Linked DNA regions of Caenorhabditis elegans. The protein of the gene in region 1 purifies or fractionates together with the protein of each later gene. This does not show direct contact. Each region holds a gene or a part of one and is shown in the gene's direction. Other genes may lie near its edges.

Region 1 (10,498 bases):
TAACCAACCATCGTCGAGTTCGCATTCGTGGCAGATCAAAAAAACATAAAGCTGCATAACAATCACAGAGAAGAAGACGAGAAGAGATTTAAAGACGAAGACAACAATATCAAAATATGAACGAGAAGGATAACAAATATTATGTGAATGAATAGTCTCAGGGCCTTTCACCAGTTTTGCATGCGCTTCGAGTAAAAACCAACCTATATCATCATTTGAAATCTGAATTTCCGTTCGAATTTGTGAGAGGAATGCAATTGGAAGTCGTCGAAAAAGCACATAAGCCACGTAAATGCAGAAAACGGCTCCGAATTTGAAATAATTGGTTGGAGACGTCGCCATCAATGATGTTCCTCGTGTTCCTAGGGCAGGTTTCTTCGTTTCATTGGAAATTGTTTTCAGAGAACAAAATGTTATAGAAAGGAAATGATTAAGCAAAAAGGAATGGTATTGAACAATTAGGGCAATTGTTCAGAGGGAAAATGACTGTTTGATTTTTAAGATGTCAAATAATGCCTAGAAATCGTTTTAGAGAGTGTGGGGATACAATAGTGGATTGATTTGTTACATTATACAAAAATAAGACTTGGGAAAAAAGTTAAGAAACTTTAAAATGCGTTTTTTTTAACTAAAAATGTAAAAAGAAATATTTACATAATATTAAAAACAAAACCCTGAAAAAAAAACAGTTCGGGCAACATTCTGCATTTTGTCGTAAAGTCTGGTGTTTGCGTACCACTCGAAGTTTGCTCGATTTTTTTTCAGACACCATTTTTTATTTTGTTATCAAAATATTAAAATTCTTTCAATCCCGATTTGAAATATTAGTTTCTAATTAAAAATATATTTAAATTGAAAATATAATTATTTAAGAATGCTTATTGATAAGCATGCCACCACATTGAAGTAAATATTTAAACAATCAAAACTTTTTCATATTAAAAACTGTCACCTTTTTTATCGTAATTATATATAATTATAATTACTATTGCAATTTTTCAGAAAATGAGTGCAACTGTAGAAGACGACGAGAATCCACCGCTCCAGAATGCAAAATTATTCGGACTTTTCAAGGTTAATCTTTTGTTTTCTTCCTCCAAACACATTTTATTAATTAATTTTCAGAATCCAGATCCTGGTTTTACGCAAACAGGAATTTCAATGTTCACAAATTTTGTGCTCACCAATATGTTTGTGTATGGAGTGACAGGACGTGCGAAATTGGCGTATGCACTCAGTATGATTTCCATTCCCTGCTCGGTCATTATAAGTGTTCGGTATTAGAATTCCCATTTTGGTTTATATAATAACTTTAACTACTTACAGAGATTCACAAAAAGATTATGATAAATGGAAAGAGATGCGATTACTACGTCTGAAAGGTGTACCAGAACGATTCATGCCGTACAAATGCAAGTACGACTGGTCAGACTATGATTTACGGAAGATTCGGGAAGAGAAATGAGCCGGGTACACTTGATAGGATCTTTACTTTTACAGTTCGATAATCGATTGATAAATAAAAATAATAAACGATGAAAAATTATGCGATGTACATGCGATAGAATTGTCTACTTATTTGAGAAGACTTTGGATTGCTTTCACAGTGATTGGATGCATATTTGGGATGTTTGCCTTGAATTGTGAGATGGCTCGATCACGTGTTGCACTCCATCCGAACAAAGATCTGAATTATAAATTTAAATTTAAGATTTTCAATATCATCTTATTTTCACCTGTAAATTGGTTTGCAATACTTCATTCTACCAACAGCCAACGCGAACGCTAGACTTGCATCAACAATCGGAGACCACTTCGTTTCGAGACCAAGCATCAGCCATGAGAATTTTAGCTCTGCATTTTTAGCCTGATCCAGTTTATAGGTGGCTGTCAACGCAGGCATTCGATCTCCAAACATAGTCTTGTTCACACGAACTGCATCGAGAACAGCAAGCTTTTGAGAATTAGACATCTTTGCGAAGACTTCTCCGTCAGTTGGTGCCTCGGATCCTTCTGTAGTCCATTTAGCGGCAAGATCCTTGCAAGCTTGCATCGGAGTTGAGTCATATTTTGGCTTTGGTGGAAGTCCGGCTTTGTGAAGCCACAAATTCCAGTCAATATTGTCCAGAATAACCTTCTTATCAGTGAATGAATCATAGAGATACTCTTTCCACTCTTCAGTAGAGACAGTTTTATAGGCATATTTTTGAATGTAATCTCTCAGGAACTGTTCAAAACGAGAATTATCACCCAGTGCCTGCTCAATTGTGAACAACAGTGCCGATCCTTTTTCGTATGGAACTGATGAAAAAGCGTCATCTGGGTCAGCATTTCCAAGATTTTGAACAAGTTTTGTATATTCATGATCTGGTCCAAAAACATCATTGACAGTGCGAACGAGAGCTTCTTCGTATCCACTTTCACTTTCAAATTGTCTCTCCAGTTCTCCGTACATTTTACCATGAATCTTTCTCTCCAAGAAAACTGTAAATCCTTCGTTTAGCCAGAAATGTTCCCAGGAGAAATTAGTGACGAGATTTCCAGTCCAACTGTGTGAAATTTCATGAGCAATAACGTTGACGAGACTGCGATCACCAGCAAGAAGAGTTGGAGTAATGAAAGTGAGACAAGGATTCTCCATTCCTCCAAATGGAAAAGTTGCTGGAAGAACAACCAAATCATATCTTCCCCAGACATACGGACCGGCAACATCCTCAGCAACTTTCAGAATTTTTTCAGTTTCAGCGAATTCGTAAAACGAAGCTTCTGCTTGAGATGGCTCGGCCCAGACGGCGCATCTTTCGCTGATTTCCTTCCGTTCCAAATGTCCAACAACAATCGCAAGAAGATACGATGGAATTGAAACTGGCTGTTTGAAAGAGAAAATTGTTCTTTTTCCACATTCAGATGGTGTTGATCCTTGTCCAATAGCTGACATAAGGCAGGTTAATCCAATTGGAACGCATACTTCAGCTTCGTAGGTACTTTTAACCGATGGAGTATCCATGCAGGGGACGATTGAACGAGCATTAATTGCTTGGCATTGAGAGAATAGATAAGGAGCCTGAATTATCAAAGATTTTAGAAAAGTGTACTTTAAATTTAAAAATCACAACTCTATCCGTGGTTTGTTCAGCAGTCAAAAATTGAAGAGCAGCCGCATTATTGCTGGATTCATACTTGATTTCGAGTACTGGCCTATCACCGGACTTCAAGCTTTCAGTTGTGATGACAAGTTTCTGCCCTAGAGCTTGATTGTCTTCCAATGTGAATCCAGCCTTTTTCGGCTCGCCGTTCAAATTCAAGGCGACTGATTGGACCGATAGATCACGAGTGTCCAGAACAATTCTTTCAGTATCCTGCTTAACATCCAACGTAATTGATACATCTCCAGCAATATGCTTTTTCTCAAAGTCAACTTTCCACTTGAGAGCGTAGTGGGAAACAGTGACCTGGAGTTAATTTTAAAAAATGAAAATGATAAATAATTTTATACCTGTTCATAGTTTGCAGCAGTAGAGGGATCTCTCGGATGTGGAGGTGCCATATTCTGAAATTGACAATTAGAAATATTTTATGTTACACTGGTGAGGTGTATACATCTAAAATGGAAAATATTTCAGTGGTATTATCAACCACATGATTGACATGGTTAAAACACAATAGAAATTGGAACGTTTATCAATGAAGAAATAACAATACATGTATGACTAGACATTTCTTATCAGTTTTCCTATAATTATATCGTCTGCACAATAGTCTTCATCAAGCTCCTTCTGAGGAATTAGCTCCAGGCGGAAGAACTTTTGAATATCCTTGAAAAATGATTTTTGAGCCAAATGAGCCTCTCCGATGTCCCTTTCCTCGCTGACCACCATAATTTCCTTTGCATCACAATCATTCAACAAGGTTATCAACGGATCTATAGTGCTGTTGTAGTATACACAATCAATTGCCAGAACCATATCCAGTCCTTCCGGTATTCTGTCCTTTGTCCAGTCGAGAACTTGAACTTTGATTCGATTTCCAGTCAATTTTCGATTTGCTTCAACATTTTTCTCAATTAACGCAAGTCTTTCTGGCAGGTCAGTAATGATGACATCAGCTCCAAGTGCGGCCAAAGCGATTCCTCCAACACCAGTTCCACTTCCAAGTTCCAAGACCTGAACAAAAACATATATTTTTGATAAAAACCTATAAATTCACTTTCTTGCCTTCAAAAGGTTTTGGGTATTTGAAAAAATAGTGAATAGTCATCAGTGCGCTGTCCCAAATCACTCCGCCGACATCCGTTACAGTTTCCTGAATGATTTTATAGAATTTTTTACAGAAATAGTCTTCGTAAATATATTAAATCAGTAACCTGATATATTATAAGCTCATCATGGTCGTTATTAAACGATATTACTCGCGCATATTCTTCACTTTCCGCCATATTCGATTGAGAGAACGAAAAAATTACTCCACTGTCAGTTCTCCACGAGGAGTACACGGCCGAGAAAAGTTGTTCGGGCCGAGACTCTTTTAAGGTTTTGTGGTATTCTCCTTTAATGAACACTGTAGCTTTATCGGATTTGGTTTTTCTGTTTTTCCAGTTTTCATGACATTTTCTTTTCTTTTTTTGTTTCATACTTGTTTTCTTTGTGCCAGAAACGCGCCCCATTGTGAAACAACACGACAAAAAGCTGAGTACAACGTGGAATTAGCATGCACTCAGTTGTTCCAACAGCTTTTGCCATTTCCTAGTTTTCCAAAGCTTTCGAAAATCGTTTTTGCATTCATAATGATGAAAAATTATTGGATAAAGCAAAAGGCGAGTGTTTCGTGTTTGGCATTTCACCGAAAGTTCTCAATTAAGTTCCTGTTCATCCTATATCCTTTCCTCCGAGAAAACCTGCCCGCTGAATGCTGACCTATATCAGTCAGGCGATTATCATTCAGTCTCAACTATATTATTGGTTCACATGGGAACAAAAATGGTTTATTTATTCAACAAGACAGTGGAGTAAAAAAGCGCCACGTCAGCCGCCCTCTCACTCCCTCTCTCTCTCTAATTGTATATGCACTATCAATTATACTCTCATATTTCATTTTCCCCCATTTCATCGAGCTCTTCATCAATTTTTCACTATTTTAATTTATTTTCATAATTTTCAGGTTGTTTCACCACTTCCATCAATGAAGGCGCTGATTCTAGTCGGAGGATACGGAACACGGTTGAGGCCGCTTACACTAACCCAGCCAAAACCTCTGGTCGAATTTGCCAACAAGCCGATGATGTTGCATCAGATGGAAGCGTTGGCTGAAGTAGGAGTCGATACAGTTGTTCTCGCTGTCAGTTACAGAGCAGAACAGTTGGAGCAAGAAATGACAGTTCATGCAGATAGACTTGGAGTCAAACTGATATTCTCTTTAGAAGAGGAACCTCTGGGAACTGCTGGCCCACTGGCTCTTGCTCGAAAACATTTGGAAGGCGATGCACCGTTTTTCGTTTTGAACAGCGACGTAATTTGTGATTTTCCCTTCAAACAAATGGTTGAATTCCACAAGAATCACGGAAAAGAAGGAACAATTGCCGTTACAAAAGTAGAAGAACCATCGAAATATGGAGTAGTAGTTTTCGATCAAGATAAAGGAAAAATTGATGATTTTGTGGAGAAACCACAGGAATACGTTGGTAACAAGATCAATGCAGGTCTCTACATTTTTAGCTCCAAAATTCTCGACCGCATCCCACTGAAACCTACTAGTATCGAGAAGGAAATTTTCCCCGAAATGGCATTCTCTGGAAATTTGTACGCTTTTGTACTTCCTGGCTTTTGGATGGATGTAGGTCAACCGAAAGATTTTCTCAAAGGAATGTCCCTTTTCCTAAATCATTGTCATACTACAAAATCCGATAAACTCGAAACAGGATCAAACATACATCCAACAGCTACTATTCGTGGAAATGTGATGGGTAAATGAATTAATTAGCAGAAATTAAATATTTTGTTCAATTTTTCAGTTGACCCATCGGCTACTGTTGGAGAAAATTGTGTGATTGGGCCAGATGTCGTTATTGGTCCACGTGTGAAGATCGAAGGTGGAGTTCGAATCCTGCACTCGACAATTCTTTCCGATTCGGTATGAGTTGATCTTGTCAGCTAGTGCCGGCCTGTATTTCTACACAATGAGCCAGTGTGGAATCAATTTTTTTAAAATTAAAATTTAGTGATGGAGTGTGGAAAAAGAATTGCTTCATTTGAAAATAGCTTTTATTTCAGTTGAAACTTACCGAAAAAACTTCTTCAAATTATCTATATTCCAGTATTCCAGTAATTTTCAACTCCAGACAATTTTGGAGCACTTTTTTCGATTTTTCAAATTGAAATAAAGTCTATTTTCAATTTTAAATTTTGATTAAAAATATTGATGCCACCCCGGCTCATTTTCTAGAATTGTTGGTCGGCAATGCGCCCATGGTTCAAAATTTATTGTGCTACATAAAATTATTAAATTTCATCAATTTTTTTTGCAGTCAATTGGCAACTATTCATGGGTTTCTGGAAGTATAGTTGGTCGAAAATGTCACATTGGAAGCTGGGTTCGTATCGAGAATATTTGTGTTATTGGAGATGATGTGGTAAGACGACATGAATTCGTTTGTTCTAATTGAAAACTTAAACATTTTAAATTACAGGTTGTAAAGGATGAATTATATCTCAACGGTGCCAGTGTCTTGCCACACAAGTCGATTGCTGTGAATGTTCCGTCGAAAGACATTATTATGTAAAATATATCAATTTTATTGATTCTTTATCGCACTCTTTAGTCATAACTCATTTTACCAAAGTGCCAACTTTCAAACTTGTGATATTTATTGTATTATTTGAATTAATTTAATTATGTGAAAATCAGTTTTTGTTTCCTGATAGGCGGGCTAAAAATCCAAATTTTCTCTTTCCACTTACTCGAAAATCTAAAATCTATAGATTAATCTATACAATCTACTGGGTGATTAATTGTATTCTTCAGGAATTTTATTGTTTTTATTTATTTTTAATCATGGCATGTTTTTCTTTCTCTGTTTTCTTGATTGCGCCGGTTGATTTCTTGTTAAATAAATTATTGTGGTTATTCGTTAATCATAGAAAATTGCTTGGTAAACGCCAAAATTGAAAAATATTGATGAAATGAAGTTTATTCCCTTCGAAAAAAATAATTGGCAACTCCAGTCTCGATAAATGAGCACATCTGGCTCATTAGAAAAGGAAGACTGGCTCGATTTGGGTGATCTTAACAATGCTCCAACATTTTCACTGGAAGATGCACTGAATGATGTAATCGATATAAAAATGATAAAGCTGAAAGTAAATCTATTAAATTTCAGACAGAAAACCTGAGTGATCCGTTTTTGGATGAACAATTCGCAGTTGATGGAGAATTCGGATCAGTCTCTAATTTGACAGAATCGACTGCACACTCTCCAGATTCACACTCTCTGACATATAAACTCGATTCAGCGTTTGTAATTCAACCACATCGTAAGAAAATAGACAAAAAAACGAATTTTTAAGATTTAGGACTCAAGGGTCTCGACACGACTGAAGAAAGTGCGTGCGCCTTTAAGGAATACTGTCGTATTCTTTCATTGTTTTTTAAAAAGTTTTCGCTTTGTTTTTTCTAGAGTTCTTTGCATATTTTCAAATTTAATGAAAGAGGAAGTAACCCAAAAGTACTGGATTTAAATTAAATTTTAAAAACATTTTATTTCAAACTTTCAAAAAAAACCAGAGCTTGCTGAAATCTGAAATTTTGCCAACTTTTCTTTGCCGCAGCAGCTGGAATACATTTTTTATTCTATTATCACCTTTATTGCATATTTTGATAGTTTATCTCGCATTAAATCGTTGGTTTAGGCACATTTCGAGGATATCTCAATCAAAAATAATCGAAATTGGATGTTTATCGGCTTAAAATGTGCCTGAATACACGAAATGTTTATAATGTTCAAAAAATTTGCCATAAAATGGTGATATTTCAATGAAAACTGGCTACCAGCCACCACCACGAGAACAACGTTTACGATCTTTCAGCAAAATGTTATCTTTTTTTTCGAAATTTTCAGACATTTGGGTCATTTTTTGACTCTTAAAAAACGTTTTGGTCGTCTCAAGATCCTAATTTTTTTCGCATCTTTATAATATTACATACACATAAAATTCAATATTTTGTTCAGAAGTAATATCCCATCAAATTCTCTCAAATGAAAAGAAGACTGGACGAGTGATTGCTGTTGCTGAAAGAAATGGATGGATCGCAGTGGTCACAAGTAAAGGACAACTGCTTCTTTTCGATTTAAATGGAAATCTTAATCAATTTCATCGTGGCGATGAGACAATGGGAGGAGCAAGCTGTGTGACGTTTTCGTTGGATGGAAAATTTCTGGCGATTGGCTTGCAGAAAGGAGCTATTAAAGTGGGGAACTCAACAAAAAGTTAAAATTTAAATTTAAAAAAAATTATTTCAGATAATGACCATCGACAATAAGCTCTATCATATGATTGACGAAGGTGGGCAGCCTGGACAGGGAATTATACAAGTTATCTACACAAAAGACAATCACACTGTGCTGACTCTCGATAATGGTGGAAGTTTTTACGAATGTACAATCAGTAAACCTTGGCTTCAAAAACGAAAAGATAAGCTAAGATGTCACGTGTCGGGATGCAATGGAGAGGTTATCTCGATGAAAATGATGCCTGGAGATGTTATTGCACTTTTATCAGTTCATAGGCTAATTTTCTATATTCTGAAACCTCGAGGTCAAATTCTTGGCATTTTCCCTATCAAATTCGAATACCAATTTCCGCCTGCCTGCTCATTCTGGCTAGGAACTCCGAAAACAGCTATCAACTCACCGCTAAACTCTCTTTATTCAACAACTTTGAAAGACTTCCGAGTTTGCATAAGTCGTGGAAACAAGTTGGCAATTCTCAGAATACACGCGAACAACTTTTTCACCAAATATGTAAGTTTAGAAAAGAAAAAATAGATGTAGTTAAATACTTACTACTGAAAATTAAATTTGCAGCGACGTGCTACCGTAATCCGACAACTAGAATTACCATGCTCACTTGTAAATATTCACTGGATGAGTAATCACATGATTGTTGGAATCGATTCATTTGGAGCCGTTTGGCAAATTGATCCTGAAAAGGGGACAGCGAAAAAACAAGATATTGAAGATCTTCAACTAGTCTTTTCAACACCAATTCTTAAAGGATCAGCAACAGGAGGAAGAGTCAGTGAAGCAGTAAAAGCTGTTGCAGAATTCGCATGTTATCAATCTGTGACGTCAGCAACATCTACTTCAGAACGACTTATCGTCTTGGCTCACGATGGTCTCAAATATTTGGAGAAAGTTCATGAATGGGAGCAATTAGAAAGATATAAAGAACGAAACGATGTGATTTCAGCATCCCTTTATCTATTGGATGTCTGTCGTGATAAAGTACGAGCCAGTGAGATGTTCAAACGAGAATCACATAGTCTTTTAGCTGAAAAAGCGCACAGTCTTCTAACCGAAACAGTAGCAGGAGTCGGTGGAGGTGCATTGTCAGATCTGTTGGCTCATTACAGAAAATATATTCGAGTTCTACTGAAAGTCTGTATCACTGGACGACTATTGGATTTTCTTTACATAGCTTGTTGGGATCGACTATCTATGGATTCTCTTTCGAAAACTGTATTCTTGGATCATCTGGATGAATATGTTCTCGATGGAGCTCTCATTGACCCTCCACCTCCACTTGTCAACGAATATCTACAACATCTTGCTGCAGAAGGACATTTCTCACAGTTTCAGTCAGCAGTTGTTCGCTTTCCAATTCATACGCTTGATCTTCATACAGTTATGTCAATTTGCAAGCAGAATTCAATATATGATGGAATCATTTATGTGAATAACAAGGCACTTAATGATTATATAACTCCATTAGAGGTTAAAAATATATTCAAAATCATAAAATTCAAAATAAAAATCAATGTTTTTTTTCAGAACATGCTGGCAGAAATGCGAACATTTGCACATCGAGACATGTTTTCGGATAGCGAACAAATTCTAGGAAATAAAGTTCTCGTTTATCTAAACTGTTGTCTTTCTGGAATGGCATATCCATTTGGTGCTCTTGATGAAGAGAATCGAAAGAGAGTTCCACTTGAAACATTTCGATGTATCAGTTCTTTAAAAGAGAAAGATGGAAGTGAATCCGATGAACAATATCCATATTTGAGATTGCTGCTGAAATATGATCCACAACAGTTTCTAAACGTGGTGAGCACTTGCGCAGATGTTCTTCTTTTTCAATTGGATAATCGGCTACAACGGTTTGTGGATACGGTAAGTGCGATGAGTTTTTGATATAATATCCATGATCTATTTCTAATCAATTTCAGATAGGACAACTATGTGTAAATATGAAATGTGAATTATCCCTCATTCACTTTCTCAACC
Region 2 (9,835 bases), 6.4 Mb from region 1:
TCAGGCTATACCTTAACAAAATCCCAGTTCAGTTTGCCCTATTTCACCTTTAATAAACAATTTTCAGGCACCAAAGTGTCCTCTCGTCCCAGCTCAAAAGCTTCAAAACTCAATGAGCAATTCAATCAGAAGCACAAAGCGTCTACACCATCTCCAACTAAAAAACCATCCGAATCTTCCGTAACTCCATCTTCTGCAACATCATTCAAACCAAAAGAAGCATATTCTCCATCGAAATCCTTTTTCAGTTATGAAATGGGCGGAGTCGGAACAACATCAGCTTCAGAAATAAATGAAAAAATATTAATTTCAAATGAAATTCCAGTTGATGAAATATCAAAAGAAGAAGAAGAAAAAGCAGAAAAAGAATTAAATGAAATAATAAAAGAATTAAAATCAGATGAAGAAGCTGTCGATGGAGAGAAAGATGTTGGAGAATTAAAAACACGAGAAGTCAATATGACATCTGAAAATGGAGAAGAGAATTCTGAAAATTCACATTCAAATGATACATCAACAGATGCAAAAGCGGTCAAATCTAGTAAAACAACGATGAATTCAAACTTTATTTTAATTTCTATATCTTCCATTTTATTTTGCAAATATTTCACTTAAATTGTAGACTCTTTTAATAAACCTGGTGCTTTCTGTCGATATATTGAGCAAAAAATTTAATAAAGGAAATGATTTTTTTTTTGAGTTTTCAGATTTCTTGAGGTTTCTGCAGACTGACAAATGAACAAATAGGATAATTATCAAGCAAATTTATTGATTACGAAAAATCGTGATCAACTTGTAGTAATAAATACGTGAAATGGAATAATAATTATGGAATAAAGCGATCATGTGTGCGGGATGGTGGGGGCTACTGATTTTGAATCTAAATGAGGCTCAGGGGAATAGAATTAATGGAATTTAGGGGAACAAGTGAAAATGAAACCAAAATAAATGTATGTGATTACTAGAAGGCTTACAAGCACTTTTATCAAGTTGATTATTACAATAATCTCAGAATTTTAATGGGCAATTCCAATTACGTCAGGTTGAGCTGGTCCTTGTGATTTGGCGAGCATATCTGCACTGATTTTGAGGTTTCGAGGCTGCTCCCATGGGAAATTATTGTGTCCAAAGTGTCCGTTTTCAGCAGTTGGCTCGTAAATTGGTCTCTTCAAGTCAAGATTCCTGAAAACAGTAAAAATAGTGAAACATAAAAAAAAACGCTTACTTGATAATCTTTCCCGGTCTCAGATCGAAGTTATCATTCACAATGGTCAATAAATCCTCCTCGCTGAGAGCAGAAGTTCCAAATGAAAAGACCATCACAGAAAGAGGCTTAGCAACTCCGATGGCGTATGAAACTTGAACAAGGCAACGACGGCAAAGTCCAGCTTTGACAAGTGACTTGGCAACCCAACGAGCAGCATATGCGGCAGAACGATCGACTTTGGTTGGGTCCTTTCCAGAGAAAGCACCTCCTCCGTGAGCTCCCCATCCTCCGTAGGTATCAACGATGATCTTACGTCCAGTAAGTCCAGCATCTCCCATTGGTCCTCCAATAATGAATGATCCACATGGATTGAGATGATAGATGGTCTTGTCGTCGATGAGATTGGCAGGAATTACAGCTTTGATAACCTAAAACCGAACAATAAATATAGCTGTATTTTTATTAATATTTTTAATTACCTTTTCGATGAGTTCCTTTCTCAAATCATCGAGACTGATATCTGGAGAATGTTGGGTGGAGATAACAACAGTGTGGACGCGTAGTGGGACACATGCTCCTCCTTCCGAAGCATATTCGATTGTGACTTGGGTCTTCGAGTCCGGACGAACCCATTCGAGCTCTCCAGATCTACGGAGCTCGTGAAGCTTCCGGTTCAGCTTGTGAGACAAGAGAAGAGTCAATGGCATCGCTTCTTCGGTTTCATCAGTAGCATATCCAAACATAATTCCTTGATCTCCGGCTCCGACATCGTCACTATCCTTGTCCACGTGGACTCCAGCAGCGATTTCAGGTGATTGTTGTTCGAGTGCAACAAGAACATTGCATGTCTTGTAATCGAATCCTGAAAATGAATACTGTATTTAATCAATAAACCAAGAAAATGAGATTCCTGACACAATGTGATGAGCCAATAGTGTAGAAACGAAATTATATTCTTCATACCTTTCGAGGAATCATCGTATCCAATTTTCTTAATGACGTTTCGGACGAGAACCTGGTAGTCGACGACAGCTTTCGAGGTGATCTCACCGCACAACATGATCATACCCGTTTTAGTCACCGTTTCTGTAATCAAAGTAACCGTTGTAACAGGTAAAGAAACATATTGTTGCGATAAGCTTCAGCCCCGTTTCCCGCATCATCCAACACCCGTAGAGCCTGAAATCAGAGACATGAATAGGCGAAATGCAAAAGAACCACAGTGATAGGTACGAGTTCACTGTTGATCCTTCTGCAAATCAAATTCACAACACAAATATCAATATCATGTTAATTCTGAGGTTAACACGACGCGAGTGTATTGAATCTGACCGCCTGTCTTCCATATCGCCGAATCTCTGAATGTTGTACGGATAATAATTGGGACTTTTGCTCATCGCAGCTCCATGTTGTTGTTGACATTTCGTTGGAGGATATCCAAAAGTCCTGAATCACTCACCACAAGCAACCTTAGCGTGAGGGTCTTGAGCCAGATGAGCGTCAAGAACAGCGTCCGAGATCTGAAAAACAAACATGAGAATGATAGACAGCTGCTTTCGAGCACGTGGGCCAATTTTCTACGCTTCGGAGATAACGTTTTGTTTGAAACTATACACATTTTGTCCCATAACTAACTTTTTACGAACTTGACAGATTTTTTTTTTCAACAGTAGCGTATTTCCAATCAAAAAATTTGATGGATTTGTTTATCTGGAAAAGACGATTTCTTATCAAATATAACTTACTTGGTCACACATCTTGTCGGGATGCCCCTCGGAGACAGATTCGGAGGTGAAAAGGAACTTGTGTTGCGGCATTTTATTTCGTTGATGGATGTTTGAAAGCGTCCGTCTGAAAGAGCGATGATATTTAGCTCAAATAAATAAAGGAAAGCGAGGAAGCGGAGGTGGGTTGAATAGAGGGCGGAGCGCCACGCAACAAAGAGAGACACAATACTCTGCGTCTTGTTGGAAACACGTTGCTCTAAAGTATAGTTTTGAGGGCGTTTTTTAGATTGCAATAAAACACAATTTTTTTGCGAGACAAGTGTGAATATTAGCCCGGAAAGCTCTACTTTTATACCATGAAGGTTGAACCTAGATCATCAGAAAACTACAGAGATTTAGAGAAAAAGGGAGCGAGAATTTTCGAAAAAAGAAGGATCAAAACAATTCTAAGGGCAAACCGTTATCTAAGGATGAGGAATTATGAAACACGTGTTATTTGAAACACCACAATAATATTTATATAAATATACGATGTTTAGAAATAAGAACACTGAGGAAGTTTTACTGTCATATTTTTGAAGAACATAAATCGAGATAAGGAAAAATATATAAAAGTCTTAGAGAACAAGACAGGCGACGTTTACAATCTAGAAAAATAAATGTCTAAAACTTTCGAAATATGCGTTCGAAGATTGTACAGATGAACCGGGAACACGGACAAAAAATCTTCGGAATTGAAGTCTCGCTGAACCTTATTGAAAGCTTCAGCAGATAAAGACAACTCACTTACACTCTTCGACGATGAAACGGTCAATGTTTTTTTTAATGTTATGCACTCCGAGAAATTTTGATAAAATTTCACGTTTTCACGTGTGGATATAGCCGAGTTCACTATGTTATCACGTTTTTACTCAATTCTTTTTAAAAGTATTATTATTGCAACAAGATCATTCCCAGCCTATACTATTGTGCAGAACATCGTTTGCAAGAAAAAAAGCTGTCGAGAGGGCAAAATCGGCCTGAACAAAGTTATTGCAAAACTTTGACATACTTTTTTATGTTTGATCATACGATTTTCATCGCTCTCCTCAAATTCATATTTGTTTTTATTTCCTCTAACAGTGTAATTGTGCTAATGGATATATGATCATGAAACTATTCAATTTGCAGAAAATCAATAGACTTTGCCCTTTTGTAAAAGCGCAGAAGCTCAGTTTCCACAACATGAAAAAAGCAAATACTCTAGACTTTAGGAACGGATTATAGTAGCCATTATCAGTAATGTAAACTTTAAAAAGCAAAGGAATCAAGAAAACAGGTTCTAATTTAGAACAAATAGCAACTTGGTAAATAAGAATTGGCCTTGTACTTTTAAGTTTGTAGTCTCACTTGCTTTTTGTCATGGTGTTTTGCTCAATTATCGAGAAACTGTAAGAATGATGAAACTACTTCCAAAATGTTTAATCGTATTTAACAAACACGTGGGTTAAATAGAAAAATAAATTATATCTCAAATAGAACAGTGATTTTTCACTGAAAAAAACGGATTTTAAAGCCTTTTTAAACCTAATCAAGCAGAAAAAACAATTAATACGATATTCGATATTTTTCCGTAACTTTTCTTGTTAATTCCGATATCTAGGAATCTCATATCTCGATTATTTCGATCTATTCATGATAGGGGAAAGCTTTCAGATATTTCCAGTTTCTAATTAGCGAAACAGATCTAATCTAGAACATTTATCGCCATCCGTGAGACAGCTGTTAAATTCTAGTTTAAGGATCGGCTAAAATTCGAATAAAATGCGACGAAAATTCAAAAAAGCCAGCAGATTTATAGAAATTTGCATAGAAAATGAAGAAAATGGAAAAAAGTGTTTTTACAAGTGTCGTAATGTGTTGGGCATTGTACGTGACAGTTGCTCACGGTGTTTGCGGACTTTGACAATTTCTGGATTTTTTGGGCCTTTTTTTTGTGCATTTTTCGCATATTTGTTTCTAATTTTCACAAGAATTTTAATTAAATTTACACGAATATTTTAATTTTTCGCTAAAATAACTGCTCAACAAAGTTCCGAGCCATATATAATCTTTCTCCAGATATTTCTGTAAATGTTCATGTGTTATCCGGATTCTTTGTATTACCAGAAATTTTATTTTATTCGAAACAATTATTTACAAAAGCTATTTGAGTTTGGGAGTATGTGGCTAGTTATCGATTTTCTAATTTTCAGTTTTGGGCTCTATTATGGCTTCAAATGTTTCATTTCAAACATTTCACAGTAGTTTTATTTGCAAAAAATAATGTTTATTCAACTTGATCGTTTTGCTACGAGGTGCTCCGCCTCTTATTCGTTCCTTCTTCCCTTTCCGTTTCTATTTATTAATCCAAACCGAACCACTATTTTCAGACGAAGTGTTTCAACCTTACAACCAAACAAAATGTCGCAACACAAGTTCCTTTTCACCTCCGAATCTGTCTCTGAAGGGCATCCTGACAAGATGTGTGACCAGGTAAGTAACCAACGAAACATTAATAAGGTGCCAGGTTTTTTTTAGTTTCATGGTTTCGAAAATGCGTATATATTTTTGATGTCAGCCATTCTTCGCGTCATTTCTCAAACGAAGATTTCTATTTTCAGATCTCGGACGCTGTTCTTGATGCTCATTTGGCTCAAGATCCTCACGCAAAGGTTGCATGTGGTAAGTGGTTCAGGACTTCTTGATATCCTTCAGCGAAAGTTCAACAACAATATGGAACTGCGATGAGCAAAAGTCCTAATTATTATCCCCTAACAACGTTCAGAGATTCGGCGGAAGACATGGAAGTCAGGCGGTCACATTCAGTACACACACATCGTGTTAACATGATATTGATATTTGTGTTGTGAATTTGATTTGCAGAAGGATCAACAGTGAACTCGTACCGTTCACTGTAGTTCTTTTGCATTTATCGCCTATTCATGTCTCTGATTTCAGGCTCTACGGGTGTTGGATGATGCGGGAAACGGGGCTGAAGCTTATCGCAACAATATGTTTCTTTACCTGTTACAACGGTTACTTTGATTACAGAAACGGTGACTAAAACGGGTATGATCATGTTGTGCGGTGAGATCACCTCGAAAGCTGTCGTCGACTACCAGGTTCTCGTCCGAAACGTCATTAAGAAAATTGGATACGATGATTCCTCGAAAGGTATGAAGAATATAATTTCGTTTCTACACTATTGGCTCATCACATTGTGTCAGGAATCTCATTTTCTTGGTTTATTGATTAAATACAGTATTCAATTTCAGGATTCGATTACAAGACATGCAATGTTCTTGTTGCACTCGAACAACAATCACCTGAAATCGCTGCTGGAGTCCACGTGGACAAGGATAGTGACGATGTCGGAGCCGGAGATCAAGGAATTATGTTTGGATATGCTACTGATGAAACCGAAGAAGCGATGCCATTGACTCTTCTCTTGTCTCACAAGCTGAACCGGAAGCTTCACGAGCTCCGTAGATCTGGAGAGCTCGAATGGGTTCGTCCGGACTCGAAGACCCAAGTCACAATCGAATATGCTTCGGAAGGAGGAGCATGTGTCCCACTACGCGTCCACACTGTTGTTATCTCCACCCAACATTCTCCAGATATCAGTCTCGATGATTTGAGAAAGGAACTCATCGAAAAGGTAATTAAAAATATTAATAAAAATACAGCTATATTTATTGTTCGGTTTTAGGTTATCAAAGCTGTAATTCCTGCCAATCTCATCGACGACAAGACCATCTATCATCTCAATCCATGTGGATCATTCATTATTGGAGGACCAATGGGAGATGCTGGACTTACTGGACGTAAGATCATCGTTGATACCTACGGAGGATGGGGAGCTCACGGAGGAGGTGCTTTCTCTGGAAAAGACCCAACCAAAGTCGATCGTTCTGCCGCATATGCTGCTCGTTGGGTTGCCAAGTCACTTGTCAAATCAGGACTCTGTCGCCGTTGTCTTGTTCAAGTATCTTATGCAATCGGAGTAGCCAAACCACTTTCAGTGATGGTGTTCTCTTTCGGGACATCTGCGTTGAACGAAGGAGAACTATTGAAAATTGTCAATGACAACTTTGATTTGCGACCTGGAATGATTATTAAGTATGTCAGCCACAAACTAATATTTTTGTTAATTGTAAAGTTTCAGGGATCTCGATTTGAAGAAACCAATTTATGAACCAACCGCTGAGAACGGACACTTTGGACACAATGAATTCCCATGGGAGCAGCCACGTCATCTTCAGATTGATGTTGAACTTCTTAAAAAGATTGGAGGAAAAACGATCTCAAACGGAAATGGAATTGCCCATTGATTGTACAATGTCTGATTCATTTGTTGTTTTGATTGTTTCTTGTTTTCTCTAATAACCATTGTTTTATTCAGTTCTAATTGCATTTTTCTCTTATCCCATCCTCACTTGTTTACCTGTATTTCCGCAATATCCTCGATATCCACATACTTCAGATTTCAAATCCCAAATTCCTCCCCAATTTCTTCAAATAATCTATCTATCCCCTTTCCTTTTTCAATATAAGACCTTATAAAAAATCATTTATTGAGAATAATTTTTGTGAAAGAAAATTGAGCGAAGACGAATCGAAATGAGGCACGAGTAGATGGAGTTTGGGAATGACGGATAATATTCAAAACGCAATACTGCTTCGGTAACGACGATCTTCAGATGAATGCTGCTGCTGTTGCTTCTGAATTCGATAAATTCGACGTTCAGCAGGACCGCCAATCTCTTTCGTGTGGATTGAGAGTGGGGAATAATCAGCCGGTGGGATTTCAGACGTCGTCAGTAATTGATGACTGGATCGTGACAGGAATGACTGGAAAATATCTAATTATTAGGAGTTCAAATTACAACTATTACAGAAACACCACAAAATTCTACGCGCAAGATATCTCGTAGCGAAAGCTACAGTAAAAAATCCTAAAATTACTAATACTATAGCGCTTGTGTCGATTTACGGGCTCTTTTTGGCATCTTTGATTTATTTATCGGTAGAATGTTAAACAAAGAATGAAATTAATACGAAGAAACGAAGGAAATCAGGTCAGTAAATCGACACAAGAGCTACCGTAGTCATTTAACGAATTACTGTAGTTTTCGTTACGAGATATTTTGCATGGTCAAATATGTGGTGCAATACGCATTCTAAGAATTTTGTGCTTCCGTAATAACTAACCGGCTCCTTCCGATCATTTCTTCTTGCTTCAATCTCGAAAGCCGCAGTCTTTTCCAGCACACTACTCTTCCGTCTGTTTCTCTTCTCATCGTTCTCCTTCTCATTATCACTTGGAACTGGTGGAGGATCCATTCCGAAGTAGAATTCAGGAAGACTATCGATTCCTGGAATATTATTATTTAGTCAAAAATCATCGAAAACTAAAAAAAAACCAACGTTTTGATTCTCTCTTCAGTTTGTCCTCTTCCTCATTAACCCATGAAAAATCAATTTCCGATTGATCACATCTCATTTGTGACGTGGCAATTGACGAAGATCTCGAGCCATATGATGGTTGACGACGGATTATTGGTTGAGCATATGTTGCATTTGAATTATTCAATGTTTGATTATGTTGAATCCGTGATGACGTTGAAGAGGCTGTCTGGGCTGCAGTTGGTGGTGCTCTTTTTGTGGGCTCCGACACCTGTTGCTCCACTTTTTCACTTCGCTCAACTTTTACTTCTATCGTTTTTGTGATTGGCTGGAAAAGTAAAAACATAGGATTCAATAAATAGTATTGGGGAAATTTTTAAATCTTACAGGTTGTGGAGACTTGATGACCTGATGATGCTGAAGTTGCTGGTGATTGTGGTGATTGTGGTGATGTGGTGTGCTACTGTACATTGGTGGCGAGATAATGTCTGAAGTTAAAGATGTGTTCCAAAAAAAATCTTTTTTGTTCAGAATCTGTAATTTTTCTGGTTTTTAAAAAAGTTTCAGATATCATATTTTTCCTATTGGAGCTTGCACTGCTTCACTTTAGCGGCTCATATACGGTCATTTTTAGTTTTATGAAAACAAATTAAAATATAGAAGAATATTTTTCACGTGCTTCGTCCGTAAAAAATTCTGGTAAAATCAAAAAGAACCGAGCTATAAAGCGTCAAAGTGGAACAAGACCAATAAGATTTCTCATTTTTCTATTAAAAAATAATTTCGGTTTCACAATTGTTATAAAATTTCCAGTGAATTCACGTTTTATTCACCTTCTTTTTAATTTCTCAAATCTATACCTCGTTTTCCTGAAGAAATGCTAGATGTGTTCCATGGATCTGAAGAATGTCCACCTTCTTCTGATGATGTCATTGGGGACGATGAAGCCAGCGAGCCGTTAAGTTCGGCTCGGCGGTTGGTGCTTCTGAAAATTGAACATATATTTTATAGCACTCAAATTGGTAAATGTTTTGCTGTATTGAATTCAAGAGACTGAAATTTTTTAGTTTACAGAGTATTTCTACAAATCTATATTACCTTTAAAAAATTAGAAAAGAAAAAAAGACCTCAAATTATTTCCACAAAATTTGAGAACTGACAGTTTTTTGATAACTATTTTTGGTGGAATTAGAGCTGTTGGAAATTAAAAAATTTGAGGAATTTTTTTGCAAAATAGTTGATAAGATTCTATGAAATATTTGTTGATTATCACTATTTGGAATTCATGAAAAAAAGTTTTGGAATATAATTTCAAAAAATTATTATTGCACCAAAAACGATCGCACCACAATCTTGTGCAAAACTAAAACAAGTTGTTTCAATGAAATTCCCAAACTTGAATAAAGTAACTCACGAGTAATTATGCTTCACATATTGGCTCTGTGTTTCTCGTCTTGTTGGTAATCCTCGTCGC

What was found.
Region 2: the proteins of tag-335 (region 1) and sams-3 fractionate together in Caenorhabditis elegans (co-fractionation; one large-scale study listed by BioGRID). This does not show direct contact.

The regions. Positions count from the first base shown.
Region 1 is NC_003282.8:12,272,712-12,283,209, reverse strand, and holds tag-335 (Mannose-1-phosphate guanylyltransferase catalytic subunit beta), read left to right. Parts: upstream 1-4,615; 5' UTR 4,616-4,813; intron 4,814-5,157; 5' UTR 5,158-5,178; coding exon 5,179-5,959; intron 5,960-6,007; coding exon 6,008-6,126; intron 6,127-6,520; coding exon 6,521-6,625; intron 6,626-6,682; coding exon 6,683-6,775; 3' UTR 6,776-7,120; downstream 7,121-10,498. Other genes in the region: hpo-12 (Mitochondrial thiamine pyrophosphate carrier), read right to left, coding at 1-11; C42C1.19 (Major facilitator superfamily (MFS) profile domain-containing protein), read right to left, coding at 204-342; C42C1.12 (PAP2_C domain-containing protein), read left to right, coding at 1,006-1,074, 1,126-1,277, 1,327-1,465; Aminopeptidase ltah-1.1, read right to left, coding at 1,576-1,687, 1,737-3,064, 3,114-3,452, 3,497-3,547; Protein-lysine methyltransferase vkmt-1, read right to left, coding at 3,711-4,163, 4,207-4,302, 4,364-4,435; vps-8 (Vacuolar protein sorting-associated protein 8 central domain-containing protein), read left to right, coding at 7,227-7,322, 7,373-7,526, 8,222-8,460, 8,513-9,013, 9,077-9,985, 10,043-10,384, 10,441-10,498. UniProt on the Caenorhabditis elegans protein: Catalytic subunit of the GMPPA-GMPPB mannose-1-phosphate guanylyltransferase complex. Catalyzes the formation of GDP-mannose, an essential precursor of glycan moieties of glycoproteins and glycolipids. Can catalyze the reverse reaction in vitro.
Region 2 is NC_003282.8:5,843,312-5,853,146, forward strand, and holds sams-3 (putative S-adenosylmethionine synthase 3), read left to right. Parts: upstream 1-5,345; 5' UTR 5,346-5,376; coding exon 5,377-5,448; intron 5,449-5,493; exon of another isoform or gene 5,494-5,528; intron 5,529-5,576; coding exon 5,577-5,637; exon of another isoform or gene 5,638-6,006; coding exon 6,007-6,129; exon of another isoform or gene 6,130-6,230; coding exon 6,231-6,613; intron 6,614-6,664; coding exon 6,665-7,074; intron 7,075-7,120; coding exon 7,121-7,286; 3' UTR 7,287-7,532; downstream 7,533-9,835. Other genes in the region: C06E7.2 (uncharacterized protein), read left to right, coding at 68-615; sams-4 (putative S-adenosylmethionine synthase 4), read right to left, coding at 1,017-1,182, 1,226-1,635, 1,687-2,069, 2,171-2,293, 2,667-2,727, 2,953-3,024; C06E7.4 (SH2 domain-containing protein), read right to left, coding at 7,618-7,806, 8,167-8,330, 8,383-8,689, 8,749-8,849, 9,222-9,346, 9,776-9,835. UniProt on the Caenorhabditis elegans protein: Catalyzes the formation of S-adenosylmethionine from methionine and ATP. The reaction comprises two steps that are both catalyzed by the same enzyme: formation of S-adenosylmethionine (AdoMet) and triphosphate, and subsequent hydrolysis of the triphosphate.